4 linked regions of the Schizosaccharomyces pombe genome follow. Changing the gene in region 1 together with any one later gene gives a genetic interaction. Each region holds a gene or a part of one and is shown in the gene's direction. Other genes may lie near its edges.

Region 1 (2,339 bases):
TTACGCATTAAAACGGTAGTTTCTTCGCTAAGCTTATGGTCCAATTCCAAATCATAACTAACGTAACAAAGTTTTTCTTTCATCTCGCGAACAGTTTCAAAGTCTGCTGTACGATTGAAAGCATAACCCTTACGAAGAAGTAAGCTAATCAAATAGCGGGTAGCATCCCTACCGGCAACGTCAAGGCGACCAACTAAATGATTTAAAACAACACTTTCATAGACAGGCACAATATGGGTTACACCGTCACCAGAATCAACAACTACACCACTGCTTAATCCCTGTGCGTATAAAGAGAGAACGGCCTGAATGGCGACATAAACACCACCAAAACCATACCGTTCAAACATTGTCTCACACATTTTTTCGCGGTTAGCAACAGGATTCATAGGGGGCTCGGTCAACAAAATTTTCCTACCCCTCGGATCAATTTTTAGTTTTTCAAAGAAAGTGTAATCCCAAAGTTGATTCATCTCTTCAAAATCACGGATAATGCCATTTTCCATGGGATATTTTACTTGAAGTAAAGATCTCACCGCCTCAGCTTCATCACCGACCATAACATCTTTAATTTGAACATTTCCTGTTTTCTCTTCAGCACGTAAAATGGGCCTTCCTACGATGGATGGGAATTGAAAGCGCGGAAAATTGTCTTTAGCATATCCGACCTTGCTAACGTTAGTCACAGTGTAAACAAAGATTTAATTAAACTGATTACCTTCACAAAACCAGTTCCATTATCTAGAACAATGGGAGCAGACTCCATTTTATAAACGTCTCGTGTAGTTGGTGAAAGGTTAGTTCTTAAGTCCACCCCTATGTAATGTACCGGCGGTAACTATCTGCCATATACCGTATGACACAGCAGCACTGCAACTGTAGCAGAGCATTCGGTGATATATCGTAAATATGTAATATCGTAGGAAAGCGAAGTGCAGTAATCTTGAGAATTATAAAACAGAAATGAAGTATCTAAATTAATTTAACAATTGGCTGCAAAAAGAATAGCTCAAAGGTTTTTACGGTTAATGATCTTATCTTCTATTGTACTTAGCATTAGTATCGTTACCCCTTATACTCAAAGCCATAACTGTGCATTTATAATTGTTCGGCAGTAATGTATATTATCGCTTATTAGTTAAAAGATTCTTCGTTTCACATAGTATTACTATTATTTAAAAGAAAAACACGGACTCTATTTGTTTGTTTAATGTGCAGGTAACACTTCGATCGTTTATTATGAGATTGGTATGACTAGGAGCGCTGTGCAAAAATGAAGAATCGCGGAACCGATTTAATAAAGAATTTATTTCTCTAGTAACTAGATGTGTGCATTAAATTGAATACAAGACTTAAACAAAAGAATTATAATTATCGACATATACCATTATTGAATATTTGTCATCTGTTTACTGAAATAAGTGGAGCAATGCAATTTGAGAATAACACATATCGGTTTAAAGATCCTTATTATATTGCTATTACTAAATTAAGGAGTGTAACGTTTCGCAGCTAAAACATTTCGATACAATATTTGATAAAAATAAATGGAGGATAAATACATTTTATTGTCAGCAGGTTGGTTATAATTTTTATTTAATAGCTCAATACTTACGTGTATATAGTGGAAACGTTTAAATCACGTCTGGAAGAACTGCTAATGCAATCGGCCAAAGTACAAAAGCAAACGATGCTTAGAAAGGAATTAGCTTCTTCGATGAATGATATGGCTTCTACGGTACAAGAAGCTTTAAATAAAAAAAAAAGTTCGTAAGGTAAGCACTTGGAGACTCAAAACATTATAGTTCATTATAGATTACGAAGGCAGTTCATTCACTATTGTTTTAATAAGTGTTTGTGAAGTACGACTTGAAGTTTTCATGATAATAAGTTATTATAATCATATAATTTCATTGATGTTTATAGTAAACAATTGTTCATGAAGCGAAAAAAAAAAAACCATTAGAAAACTTCCCTCTGAGCAAATTATGATTACAAGCCTATCGTAAAAAAACCGTCTATGTTATTTGGGACTGTTATTGAGCCAGTATTAGGAATTATCAAAAAAGATACATTCAGGCGTAAGTTACGTCCACTTTTTAGTTTCAGATTCATCAGAAATCGAATAATCGTCACTGGGAGTATGTTTGATATCAAACGTTCTATCAACTCTAATCGAAACCTCGGTGGTTTCTCCTTGCGCAGATGAAGTTTTCATGCTTTGCAATTTCAGAGCTGTACTAGACGCCCATAAACTCGAAAGAGGAAGAGAAATGATTAGCAGACATTGAGTCATAGAGCTAAAGCCATCATACGTATGGATAAAACTATCTATTATA
Region 2 (4,016 bases), on another chromosome or scaffold:
AATCTAAACTTGCCCCGGTACGTAGATACTTGTCAGGGTTAGTCGGTGATATACTTAATATCTGCGAATATAACATAAAACTTATCGATTTTGATATTAATCACTTGCAACAACGTTTGACGGATCTTTCTCCAAAATTTCGTAAGGTAAAACATGAGCAGCAATTTACCTATCAGAAGAATGAATCTTTAGTTGAAGCGACTGTGCAATCTATTTCTCAGCATACACATTCCGAATTAGAAGATGCTATTGACTCATTAGGTTCTTTTGCTTCTGTCAAGTATTCTGGTTTTTTCTTTGCCTACCAGTATGCGATATCCGTAAGAGACGCCATGCAACAATATTTAGAAGAAAAATTGTTGGAGTCAGAAGATTATGCTCGAAAGAGGACCGAAGAAGCTGTCTTATGTATTCAAAAAGATGTAAAAGATAATTTTGACTCCGCCGTCCTTCCAGTCTTTCATGCCAACCAAATGTTTATTAAGAAACATAGATTGCAACTGCAGAAGCATTTTCGATTTGAACTTGGCTTGCTTGATTTTATAGATCTAGACCTTACTGAGAGATTAGGAACCTGGAGCGCTTCATTGAGTACTATTCTCTTGGTCCTTGGAAAAACAACCCCTTCATTTACAACGCTTGGTGCATTTACTGGAAATCTTGGTTATCCAATATTTAAATATTTTCAAAATAACTCGCTTCAACACTTATTGGTCCCGGTACTTGGTTTAGCAAGTATTTGCGTTTTTGGGTATGTTATTTACGATATACCTAGAGCACTTCCTCTTAAAGTTGCGGAAAAGATAAAAAAATCTTTAAGGGAGACAGATTTTTGTCACAATGCTAGTATTTGGATAGGTACAGAGAGTCGTAAAGTTCTCAATATTCCGTTGAATGATTTACGAAGAATGTTTCACCAACAATGGGATAAGCAGCGCGAGACTATATCTGTCGCTGAGAATGACTTACGAATTTGTCAAAAAGCAAGAAAGTTTTTTGGTGAAATAGAAAGCCGAACTCGTGAAGCTAAGAAGAAGATAATGATGGTTCAATTGGAGGGATGTGATATAAATTATTAGCAGTACGGGCTGAGGCTAAGTTTTAAAAAAAAAGAAAAGAAAATTGGAAGTGGCCTTCCTTACTGAAAACGATATACTCTTCGAGTTTATGTTTGATGATTTCATCTTATATTTTACATTCCAAGATTAATGAATTCAAGATACATCAAATTTCCATTTCCGAGTAATCATCCATATTCAATTTCGTAGCACGAATGCAATATTGGGAAGCATGGCATTTAATATTTTAATTCTGCTGAGGTCAATATACTTCAACTACTAAAGCCATGAGTTTTTTATTTAGGTTTCTGATGTCTTTCAAAGTCGATAAGAACATTTTATAAACTGGAATTTTCCTCAAGTTATATTGCATCCACTCAATTCTTTCATACATAAAATGTTTATGTCAAAATGTAATGATCTAAATTATAAAATCTATTTAATAACACATCTCCAAAGTAGAACAGAACTTGATATAAGACGATATAATGATTTTTGATAAATATCATCATTATATGGTTATAAAATGTATGCAGCACATCTACTAGCGTTACCGTGCTGGCAATTTCTGAAAAGCCCCTTATCACAATCTTTTTTTGAATTGCTATCTGAAATTTCATTTTACGGTTTTTATACATATTTTGGAAATATACCAATTTCTTTTGGTTACAGAGCCGCTTGTTCCATATTCTTACTTCTTTGAGCGACGATATTTCAATTAGTTAGTGTATTTTAAAAACAATACGCTGTCATTTAAGCTGTGCATTTTTTATCTTTAATTCATTTGTTCATCTCGATTTTTAGGCCTCTGAAGTACGCCTTGCAAGGTGCTTGTTCTGAGATACATAGTTGCGAAGTACTATCATAGTGTGTATCTCGTTTGATGTATATTCCCAATCTGAGAAATTATCACGACAAGGTGTTTCCTTACGGACCTTCTTCCAATGGCTACAACCCTGTAATTCGCTTGACTGATAGAACCACACAGCCTGATCCCTCGCAACATATATACCAGGAAGAGAAAATTAGTAAATGTGAAGGTCTATCATATCGAGCTCGTGAATGGCTTCTGCTTTCTTCTAACTCTAATGCCAGAGTAGCTATTGCGCTTGCTGAACCTGTGCTCTATTTACCTGGAGCGACTTCAAGTGAAATTCAAAGTGAACATTCAGCTGTTTTGCGTGGATCTTTGTGCATTCAAATTTATAAGCCTGTGAAATTGAAAAAGATACAACTGAGCTTTAAAGGAAAATCGAGAACAGAATGGCCTGAAGGCATTCCTCCAAAACTCTTTGACACATATGAAGAGAACAGTATTATGAATCATTGCTGGGTATTTTTTCATTCTGAACAGAAAGTGGATGAGAATTCACATGGTGCAGTGTGGTACAAAGTTTTGCCTCATTACGCAGATACCGCACACTATCCCCGCAGTATGGAATGCTTTTACCCTGGAGAATACGTGTATAATTTTGAGCTTCCTATCTCTTGTACATATCCAGAATCTATACAGACCGATATGGGTCGTGTATATTATTTCTTAGAGACATTGGTGGACAGAAGCAGCACCTTCTCTGGTAAGTCCACCGGCAGGATTCCCATTGAATTAATTCGTAGCCCGTGTAGTACTAGTGTTGCGACTTCAGAACCTATACTTGTCTCAAAGAGTTGGGAAGATAGGCTTCACTACGAGGTTCAAGTCGGTGAGAAATGTGTTGTAATGGGTCAAGTAGTTCCTGTCAACTTTAAATTCACCCTCTTGGGTGAAGTCAAGTTTCATAAACTTCGCCTTTTTTTAATGGAGCGAAGATATTATTATTGTCGCCAACGTTCAGTCCGTCGAAAAGAGAAAACCAGACAACTACTTCTGTATGAGCGTAGTGCTCCAAAGAACCAATGTTTGCTCTCCGATTGGAAGCAGGTTAGACCTGATGTTTACGAACTGTCTGATCAGGTACGTATTCCTGGATGTCATGACATGGCTGCCAATATTGTGCATTTCGATACTACGTATCCAAACATTAAAATAACACATACTGTGCGTACAGTACTTCGCTTTTCTTGCGAAAATTCTCCTGAATTAATGGGCTCTGCAAAATATTTGGAAATCTATATTGATTCTCCTGTCCGACTCTTATCTTGCAGATGTTCTGATGGTTCAACTATGCTACCTGCGTATTGTCCTATTATCCCCTCTAGTGAGGTAAATTTTTGCTCAATCGACAACAGAATCATTGCTGGTATGAACAGGGATCTCGCACTTGATTCTGACATTATCGGAAATTCTCCACCATCCTTTGATTCCTGGACCGCTGTCCCGTATCAAGCACCACCTCCAAAGTACGATGATATTTTTCAAAGTGGCAGCAGTCATGATGAAAATCATGATGACAACTAGTATCTATTATTTATCTGTGATTTATTATCTATTTGCATTTTTGTCTTGCCTTGTATATAAACGTTTTTGTTATTATATTTTTTTTCGCACTTGCTATTTCCATTGACTGTTGTACATGTTCTTTTTATAGTTTCATTAATATATTCATTATTTTTCTTATTATTAAACATATGTGTCTCATTACTAAAATGTTTTTAGGGTTAAACTAGCAGCAGTTTGCTGTAGAGAATTATTGGGGTGTAAGAGTTTATTATTTTTTCATTGATGTCATTGAAATCAACTTACAGAAAAGCAGTTATTTGTTAGGAGCTGCTGTTTTTATAACCGTGTTCTCTATAGTAAGACACGAACTCGTCTATGAGGGTTGGCCACGCACCTTCAAAATCATAATTAGAGCAATTGGGATCTGATTTAACAAATACACTAAAATCCCATAATTCATTCCACGTATCCTTTGGCAGAGATTTTTCGATAATAGGGGAAACTTTTAAAAAAGCAATCCAATCATCCAGAAGAGGAAAAGTATCTTTAAGAAGAATCTGGAAAAATTCAATGGCAAT
Region 3 (5,127 bases), on another chromosome or scaffold:
CATACATATATATATATACCTTTGAATTCCCATTCACAACCTCATTTTCCAAGTATGTTCTCTGACTCTTACTCAAGGTGAAATCTTTGTGGATCGTAGACAAAATGTAGCTTAAGAAAATCTGGTGATTTCTGCAGTCTTATTTATGTGAATAATTTTGTTCGCCTACTCCGGTTTATTCAAACCAAAAAAACTCTGTCAAAAAAAGGCATCATTTTTTGCTTGCTTTAAATCATTTGCATTATCGTTGAATATACCAATAGAAAAACCTAAGCGTTGTTAAATGAATAAAACGACACTTCTGTATGAAAGCTTCGTTGCTTCCTATATTACCATGTTTCAAGGAGATTCGTTGATATACATGGATCAAATTTAGGAATTGCCGGATAAAGCTATGTTCATTTATCCTATTGAGAATGCAAAGGTCCTGATAGTAAATTTTTTTTTTCACCTGAAATTACCGTTTTTCAATTACCTGAACGAATCATGCTTTAATGCTCTCCATTAAGCATCAGTGCTGGATATTAGTTTTGGGAGTACTTCCGCAAAAACGGATCGAAATCCATGTTTCCGTCTGTGTGCTAGTCGTCAATCGCCCTGATACCGATCAACTACTCCAATAGTTAGTTGCTTTTCCCAGCGTCCAGCAAATTGAGCTAGCTAGCTGTCAACTTAATTAGAAGCAATTGTGACGACCATTTATCATTAAACAGAATTAAAATGCACGATATTGCAATTCTTTGTCTCTAGATGCAAAACCTTCAAAAGGAACGGAATTAAGTTAGTTCCGTTTTTCGTTAACCAGCGTCGTTGGTGACCGAAGTGCGAAAAGTTGCATAAACTTTGTTTTTTTTCTATTACAACATAATTTATTTCCAATTGTTTTAAAAACGTGTCTTTCAATGATTCAATTCTTCCCTACAAAATTTTTTTCTGGGAAGACGAATGTCAATTGGATAGGATTCCCACGTTCAAGTAATCGGAAGAAGTTTGACAATGAGCAACATGCATTCAACGATTATTGATTAAAATTCGGTGTTTGTAAAACGATCATAAGTAAGGAGAATTAAAACTGTGTCTATTTTTGGGAATTGAGAGATTGCTCCGTAGGCTTGGTAGACTAATGTTATTAACCTTCATTGTGTCTAGTCATTTTGGGATGCAGACTGTTCTGGATTATAATGCTAACCATTTGTCAATATCAAGAGACTTTCCCTAAATTTACATCCATGTACGATTTCGGTATGAAATTAAAAATTTCTGCAGTCACGTTCAGTTAGTCGCGCCTTTCATTACTCATTTTTTTCACTTGAAAATAAAATATCGCTAATTTTGAAAGCGCGCATGGAGTTTCACTCTTCCGACTTTCGCATCTAGTTTACCATAATTTTTAAGAAAACTGGTTTTACTGAGTTCATGAACGTTGTATTAAAAAGGCTTCAATTATCTCTATCTACTAAATGCAATGTAGAAGGTGGCAGGATTGCGCACGGACTTGTTTTACGATGCTTACGAGATATCGCTTGACTTTTTGGTTCACGGTGGACTCTTTACAACAGCTGATTTTCCATTCCACTAAACGAGCTGATAGTTAAACTGTCCGCATCTTCAAGGATTTGCAAGGGTCAACCTACTATCCAACCTCTTTCTTGGTTTCCGTGACTGCTCTTTGCTGGTAGCAAATCGATACTGACTATGCTTTGGCCAAGCCGAGGTGCACTTGGTTGATAAAGGAAGAGGATTTTTTTCCACCAATTGCGGATATATTTTAACTTTTGGACCGAAACCAAGTGGAAATTCCCTCGATACTTCGCTTTTTATGGTTAAGCATGTTAAAACATTACTTCCTTACATTTTATTGAGTATTTAGCGCAAATGAATCACTGCGCTGGCGGATCTTACGTGGTGAGAGAGCGGCACTTTTGTTCATCTATCGCATGAAAATGCTGGCTGCATTACGCAAGGTCATGTGCTGGATTTTCTACCAGTCCTCAATTATCTGGCGGTTTTTAAATCGCAAAAGTATATAAACAACCTCGACTGTCATCGATTTCAACATCATTTGTACACGATCTTTTCTAACTGAAAGCGGTTGTTGAGTTTTCATTCTTTTGCTCATACAATTCGTTTACAATTGGAAGTTAATTACTACTTCCTTTTGTATTAGATTTTTTCTTAACTTTTACTTTTTTGGTTTTTTTCTTTTTTAGAGTTTTTTTATTCTTCTTGATTTTTGAAAACGCTTGTTTTATTTGTGTTTTCTATAGTCCTTTGTGTTCTTTTTTTTTGAATTGAAATTAATACCCGCCTTTCTTTTTCTTTATTCTCGTTAATTTTTTTGAAGTCACGATGTCACTTCTTGTTAAGGCTGCTTTGATTTTGAAATGTGCTAGTATGCTTCAGGGTGTTTCTGCACAGTATTTCTGCCGTGATACTACTTTCGACAAGAGAACTTTGGAGTCGGTTCGTTTCGAATCGGAATGTATTCCCACTGTTAACAAAAGGGACTTGGATCCTAATGCTGAAGGTGTCTACAAGCGGTCTTTTGACGGAAATATGAACCCTTCCGATTTCCAATTATTACCCCTTGCCCCTCGTGATGGCGCCATTGTCAACGTTGACAAGGAATCATTCAGCAAGCGTTCAACCACGAACATGTTTGATTTTAACTTTTCTTGCTATTTCGGTTCTGATGGCCATAGCAATGACACGTTATGTCAGCAATACATTGATGTAGCTGACTCCGTGGGTGAACAATTCTCACGTGTGCTTAACCTTAACACCCCAATTGTTATCGATGTTACCGTTGTTGGTGCTTGTACTGGCGAGTCTGTTTGTTCCCAGGGTCAAGGTATGGTAGCAGGCAGTATTGGCGGTGAAGCTTCTCCTTCTCGTGAAATTCCCATGGCTTGCAGTGATGGTTTAACTCGTTATTATCCTCAGGCTGTAGTTAAGCAACTTGGTCTTTCTGATCCTCCTTCATATGCTGACAGCGATATTACGATTGCCCTGAACGCTGATGCTAATTTCTACTTTGGCTCTGGTGATATGGGCTACGAAGCAGTAGATTTGGCTTATGTCCTTTTCCATGAAATAACTCATGGTCTTGGTTTCTCAACTGGATGGGGTGTATTCGGATATGAGAATCTCACTGATCCTTATATGAACGCTCTTTTACCCACTGTCTCATATGTTATTGGTGAAATGAATGGAGAAACTATGTATGCTTTCCATGATGTTATTGAGAATGCTTTTGACAGGAATATTTTTTATTCTATCGACCCTAATGAGGGATTACCTACCATTGCTGAATTTTTCCATAGTGTCGGTGCTGCATTTACCCTTAAGGCTGACTCCATTGCCGGTGTTGTTGCCCAGATGAATGATACAACTACTCAGTTCCATATCCAAGCTAACGAAGCTTACCGCAAGGCCATTAATCCCGGTAGATTGGTTATCTACCCTGATGCAGGCATTGACACCTATTCACCTTTTATTTACTTGGATTCTTCCTATGTTCCATTTTCATCTGGATCATCTTTGTCTCATGTAGCTCTTCATCATTATGATTGTGAGCCCAACTTTTTGATGCGTGCTTTCTATACTGCTGGCGCTACTCTTGAATCCTACATCGAGTGTGCTTATGGAAGTGATCAAGCCGATGTCGCTTACGGTCCCATCGGTCCTGCTATGCGTACTGTCTTCAGACGTATGGGCTACTCGGTCAACAACCTTACTGGTGTTACCAACGAATATAGCGAGAGCTTGGCTAAGAGATCGTTGTCTGAAAAACCCAAGACTGCTCCAACTGGTAAACAGCTTGCTCTTCATCCTTTGAGAAGAGAGACATCTATCTTGGATTCAACCAACACCACTTCTACTAATGCCACCAACACTACTACAACTACCTCATCAAGTTCAACTGCTTCATCATCTGCTTCTGCGTCTAGTTCAACATCCGCCACCTCTGGAGCAGCTGGTGATTTGTTCAGTGTTTCCAAGAATTTGATGATGACTTTGACTGCAGGATTGTGCTTGATTACTGCAAGTTTGTTTTAACGCGGTTGATTTTCAAATTGAATCTTCCTGATGTATATTACTATATAATAAAGCTTTAAATTAGCTGTTAGTGAGATTTTTATGATTTGGCCATCAAAGTCAATTAATTTTTATTGCTAGGAGATGATACTATTAATGACGATATGAAGCCTTGTTTAATACTTTGTTTTCTTATGCAAACGCGAAACACTAGTTTTATTTTGAAGATTGCTACTAAATTATAATTTTGGTTGATAACTGTATCAATATACCTTGCACATATTTCTATAGAATTTCGATCTGCCCTTTTGTTTGTTAAGTTATAAAAACATTTTATCTTTTTACAAGATACTTTACCCGAATTGTGTGATTATAATTCCGTTGCTTTTTAACCGACGTGATGATGTATATTTTATATATATGCCTCTATAATAGTGTTTGGGTCATTTGTCTCACTCAAATTTTCGTGTGTATTTTACAAACACTTAATATTTTTTTTTTTTAACTCTTTAATGAAGGGAATGCTTTCAGTTTTACGCGAACGAAATTTAATCGATTGATGTTTTTGTTTTAATCTTAGTTAAGTCGCTGTAAAAAAGTAGTGTGATAGAAGGTACTTTGTATGACGATAGAGCGGTAGATGCGATTAATATTGTGAGAGTGAGTTTTGTTACAATCGGATGACATGTGTAAAAAAATCCTATATACTAAGATTGATATGGTGATGAATTTAAAAATATGCATTTTTGTGAGTAAATAAATTATATTAAATGTGGGAAAGACATGTAAACACGGTAATGGAATATATAAATATATATATATATATATAATGTTTGCTAGCACATTTATTCACTATAATTGATGGCTGTATAAGAGACAACGGTTTTAACGTTTAAAAATCTTTCGTTATATAGAAATTGTCTCCGTCTTAAGCACTAACGATCGTTACGAGCGGTCCCGCGCTTTTGTCGTTGATCTGATTGACACAATGGGCGGCATTTGTGCTTCGATTATCGTCGTCATATGCTTGAATGGTGTGAACGCCAGATGTTAAAATGCAATAACCATCAGCAACCTTATCCGAAAGTA
Region 4 (3,231 bases), on another chromosome or scaffold:
TATCGGAACGTCAGTTTTGCGATGTGGAACTCATTTTGAACGGAGGTTTCAGTCCATTAGACGGATTCATGAACCAAAAGGATTATTTGAATGTCGTCGAGAATTTGCGTCTCAGCACTGGCGAGGTCTTTCCCATCCCTATCACCTTGGACCTCAATGAATCGCAGGCCGATTCTTTGAAGGCCGGTGATCGTGTTGCATTATTAGATCCTAGGGATGGGCAAACTGTTATTGCCATTTTGACTGTTGAGGACAAGTATACCCCAGATAAGGCGAACGAAGCTGAAAAGGTATTTGGTGCTAATGATCGCGCCCACCCTGCCGTCGACTACTTGTTTGGTCGTGCTGGAAATGTGTATGTTGGTGGTAAACTTCAAGCCGTTACTCCTATTCGCCATTTCGATTTCGTAGAGTACCGCTACTCACCTGCTCAACTTCGCTCTGACTTCCAGCGTAACAACTGGAATCGCGTCGTTGCTTTCCAAACCCGTAATCCCATGCATCGCGCCCATCGTGAGCTTACCGTCCGTGCTGCTAAGCAACACGGTGCCCGTGTGCTCATTCACCCTGTCGTCGGTATGACCAAGCCTGGTGATATCGATCACTTCACCCGTGTGCGTGTTTACGAGGCTATTCTCCAACGCTATCCTAAGGGTTCCGCCAAGCTCTCTCTTCTTCCCTTAGCCATGCGTATGGCTGGTCCTCGTGAAGCTTTATGGCACGCCATCATTCGTAAGAACTACGGTGCTTCTCATTTCATCATTGGTCGTGATCATGCTGGTCCTGGTAAGAACAGTCAAGGCGAGGATTTTTATGGTCCTTACGATGCTCAGTACCTTGTTGAACAATACGCTCAGGAAATCGGTATCACCATTGTTCCTTTCCAAATGATGACTTACCTTCCTGATGAGGACATCTACAAGCCAGTTGACAAAGTCGAACCCGGTACCCGTACTTTGAACATCAGTGGTACTGAACTTCGTCGCCGTCTTCGCGTCGGTGCCAACATCCCTGAGTGGTTCTCTTATCCAGAGGTTGTCGCTATTTTACGTCAATCCTATCCTCCCAAATACTCTCAAGGATTTGTTTTGGCTGTTCCTGCCACCTCCGATAAACTTCTCCCCAGCGCTCTAGTTTCAGCCTTGAACGAGGATGGTCGCCGCCATGTCACTCTTTTACCTCGCTTAGATGCTATTTCAGTGTTTTACGCCCAAGAATTGCAACGTGCTGGTGCTGCCGTTGTTGTTTCTCTGGCTGATGCTGATGCATCTGTTAAAGTACCTGCTGAGTGGACTACCGTAAACATCAAGCCCAAAGACTCTGTTTCTGAGGTTACTTTTGCTGTCCTTTCACAATTGTCTGACGAAGGCTATCTTTAAAATAATGTTTTTTGACATATATATATATATATATATATACATATATCCATTTTTGTTCTTTTATGTTCTACTTGTCTATTAAATAATAAAATAATTGCTGCAGGAATGACAACACTCCCTCATTAGAACTTTGCCATTTGTAGATGTAACTAAGAATGCAACTCAATTAAATTTCGCTAAGGACATGTTAGTAATTAATTAGCGATAGGCTTCTTAATAACAAAAGGTAGGAAATTCAATCCGAAGCCGAGGGGAATTAATTTATTATATATGTCAGATATACATAGCAGACTTTAGCAATTGCAATACATGCCAATGCAATGTTTTATTTTAATTCAGAAGTCATTATAACGTTAAGCCTATGCTCTCACTTAACGCATGCCTGGATGTAATACATTGTTACATTTACTTAAAAAAACTGGGCTTATAAAAAATATATATATAGGTTTTCTTTAAATTAACATTTCCTAAACTAAACTATTGATTTAACAAAAGAAATTGTTACATCTATTGTTATACCTAGGTATCCAATATAATAACTGTATACTACCTTACTTTTCCTACCAACAAAATCCCCCTTGAAACTAGTGCTCTCTATTTCTAAATAAAAGTAAGACCTTTAACTACTCAAAATGCAATCTATGCAACCTTCAACTGTGGATAAGCGTAAGTTCTATATTGTATGAATTCAGTCATTAACACTGAACAGTAAAAATGGGCGCCATTATGGGTTCAGCTGCTGGACTTGGCATCGGGTTTTTATTTGGAGGAGTAGCAGTTTTGCGCTATGGGCCTGGTCCACGTGGATTCTTAAGGACCTTAGGTCAATACATGTTAACATCTGCGGCCACTTTTGGCTTTTTCATGTCCATCGGCTCTGTAATTCGCAACGAAGATATACCACTAATACAGCAGTCAGGCTCACATTGGAATCAAAGATTATTAAATGAAAATGCAAATTCCAGTCGTATTTTTGCCTTGGCTATGCAACAGGCCAAAAGTTCTCCACGTAAATCAAATGAAGTTGCTGAGTGCTAATTTCGTTTAATCCGATTATAATAAAAGTATCATACTATCATTTTGTTAGTATATGAGGTACAATATTTGTTTCTCCTGAATTCTGAGTTAAAGATGTACTGATGATTGTACTATCATGCATTTAAACTAAAAAGCTTTGGCCGCTACATCAAAGGACTTTTGCATTTTTCTGATAGTTCATGTTTAAAAAAGTCTTTATACCATATTGTTAATATTTTGATGGCGATTTAATTTTCCTTAAAATTTTTACGATTTAAAGATTTGGGTAATTTGCTAGGTGGTAAATTGGTAAATTAGTTTGTTTCGATGAATAATATTTGTAGCAATAGTTACAAAAAATGATCGAAGACAAGCTATTACAAATAAGCTAATTATTATTTGATCATAAAGATATTTAGAAACAATACTTGTGCCTTAAAACTTGCAATATCAATAATGCTTGTCATAAGGAAGATTCGGTTACATATGGGTTGAAGATACATATGCTCATTAGTATTATTAAATGTATTATATATGCTTGATGTTATCACTTCTTTAGATGCTAATTGTAATGTAAATGCGTCTGTTGTCTCTTTTTGTACACGCATTATTAGTTGGTATCTTATATAAAACTTCGATTCAATCTCCAACTGGTAAAGCAAAATGCAATTAATGCCAGAATAAAATAAATATGCAAGTCCATAAACCGTTGTATGCACCATTCATAAGCAGAATTTACTGCGTTCATAAAGTTGCGAAAGCATAGTCTTCAAAATCTTTCGTTTGCTTCTTAGCCAAAATTCAAAAAAAAACTTGAAAGCACCTGCAAAAAGGT

The links.
Region 2: mutations in fta6 (region 1) and aly1 together harm fitness more than expected from each alone (negative genetic interaction), as found in Schizosaccharomyces pombe (one large-scale study listed by BioGRID).
Region 3: mutations in fta6 (region 1) and SPOM_SPBPB7E8.01 together harm fitness more than expected from each alone (negative genetic interaction), as found in Schizosaccharomyces pombe (one large-scale study listed by BioGRID).
Region 4: mutations in fta6 (region 1) and mgr2 together harm fitness more than expected from each alone (negative genetic interaction), as found in Schizosaccharomyces pombe (one large-scale study listed by BioGRID).

The regions. Positions count from the first base shown.
Region 1 is NC_003424.3:4,781,482-4,783,820, reverse strand, and holds fta6 (protein Fta6), read left to right. Parts: upstream 1-1,514; 5' UTR 1,515-1,547; coding exon 1,548-1,578; intron 1,579-1,625; coding exon 1,626-1,774; downstream 1,775-2,339. Other genes in the region: ARP2/3 actin-organizing complex actin-related protein subunit Arp2, read right to left, coding at 1-668, 719-766; pheromone p-factor receptor Mam2, read right to left, coding at 2,087-2,339. UniProt on the Schizosaccharomyces pombe protein: Component of the kinetochore, a multiprotein complex that assembles on centromeric DNA and attaches chromosomes to spindle microtubules, mediating chromosome segregation and sister chromatid segregation during meiosis and mitosis.
Region 2 is NC_003423.3:595,670-599,685, forward strand, and holds aly1 (arrestin-related trafficking adapter), read left to right. Parts: upstream 1-1,628; 5' UTR 1,629-1,941; coding exon 1,942-3,456; downstream 3,457-4,016. Other genes in the region: dynamin-like GTPase fzo1, read left to right, coding at 1-1,079; neddylation protein Dcn1, read right to left, coding at 3,759-4,016.
Region 3 is NC_003423.3:3,492,168-3,497,294, forward strand, and holds SPOM_SPBPB7E8.01 (uncharacterized protein), read left to right. Parts: upstream 1-2,054; 5' UTR 2,055-2,349; coding exon 2,350-4,059; 3' UTR 4,060-4,610; downstream 4,611-5,127.
Region 4 is NC_003423.3:1,569,633-1,572,863, reverse strand, and holds mgr2 (protein Mgr2), read left to right. Parts: upstream 1-1,944; 5' UTR 1,945-2,011; coding exon 2,012-2,045; exon of another isoform or gene 2,046-2,088; coding exon 2,089-2,417; 3' UTR 2,418-2,660; downstream 2,661-3,231. Other genes in the region: sua1 (sulfate adenylyltransferase), read left to right, coding at 1-1,379; SPOM_SPBC27.05 (uncharacterized protein), read right to left, coding at 2,792-3,118. UniProt on the Schizosaccharomyces pombe protein: Required for cell viability in cells lacking mitochondrial DNA.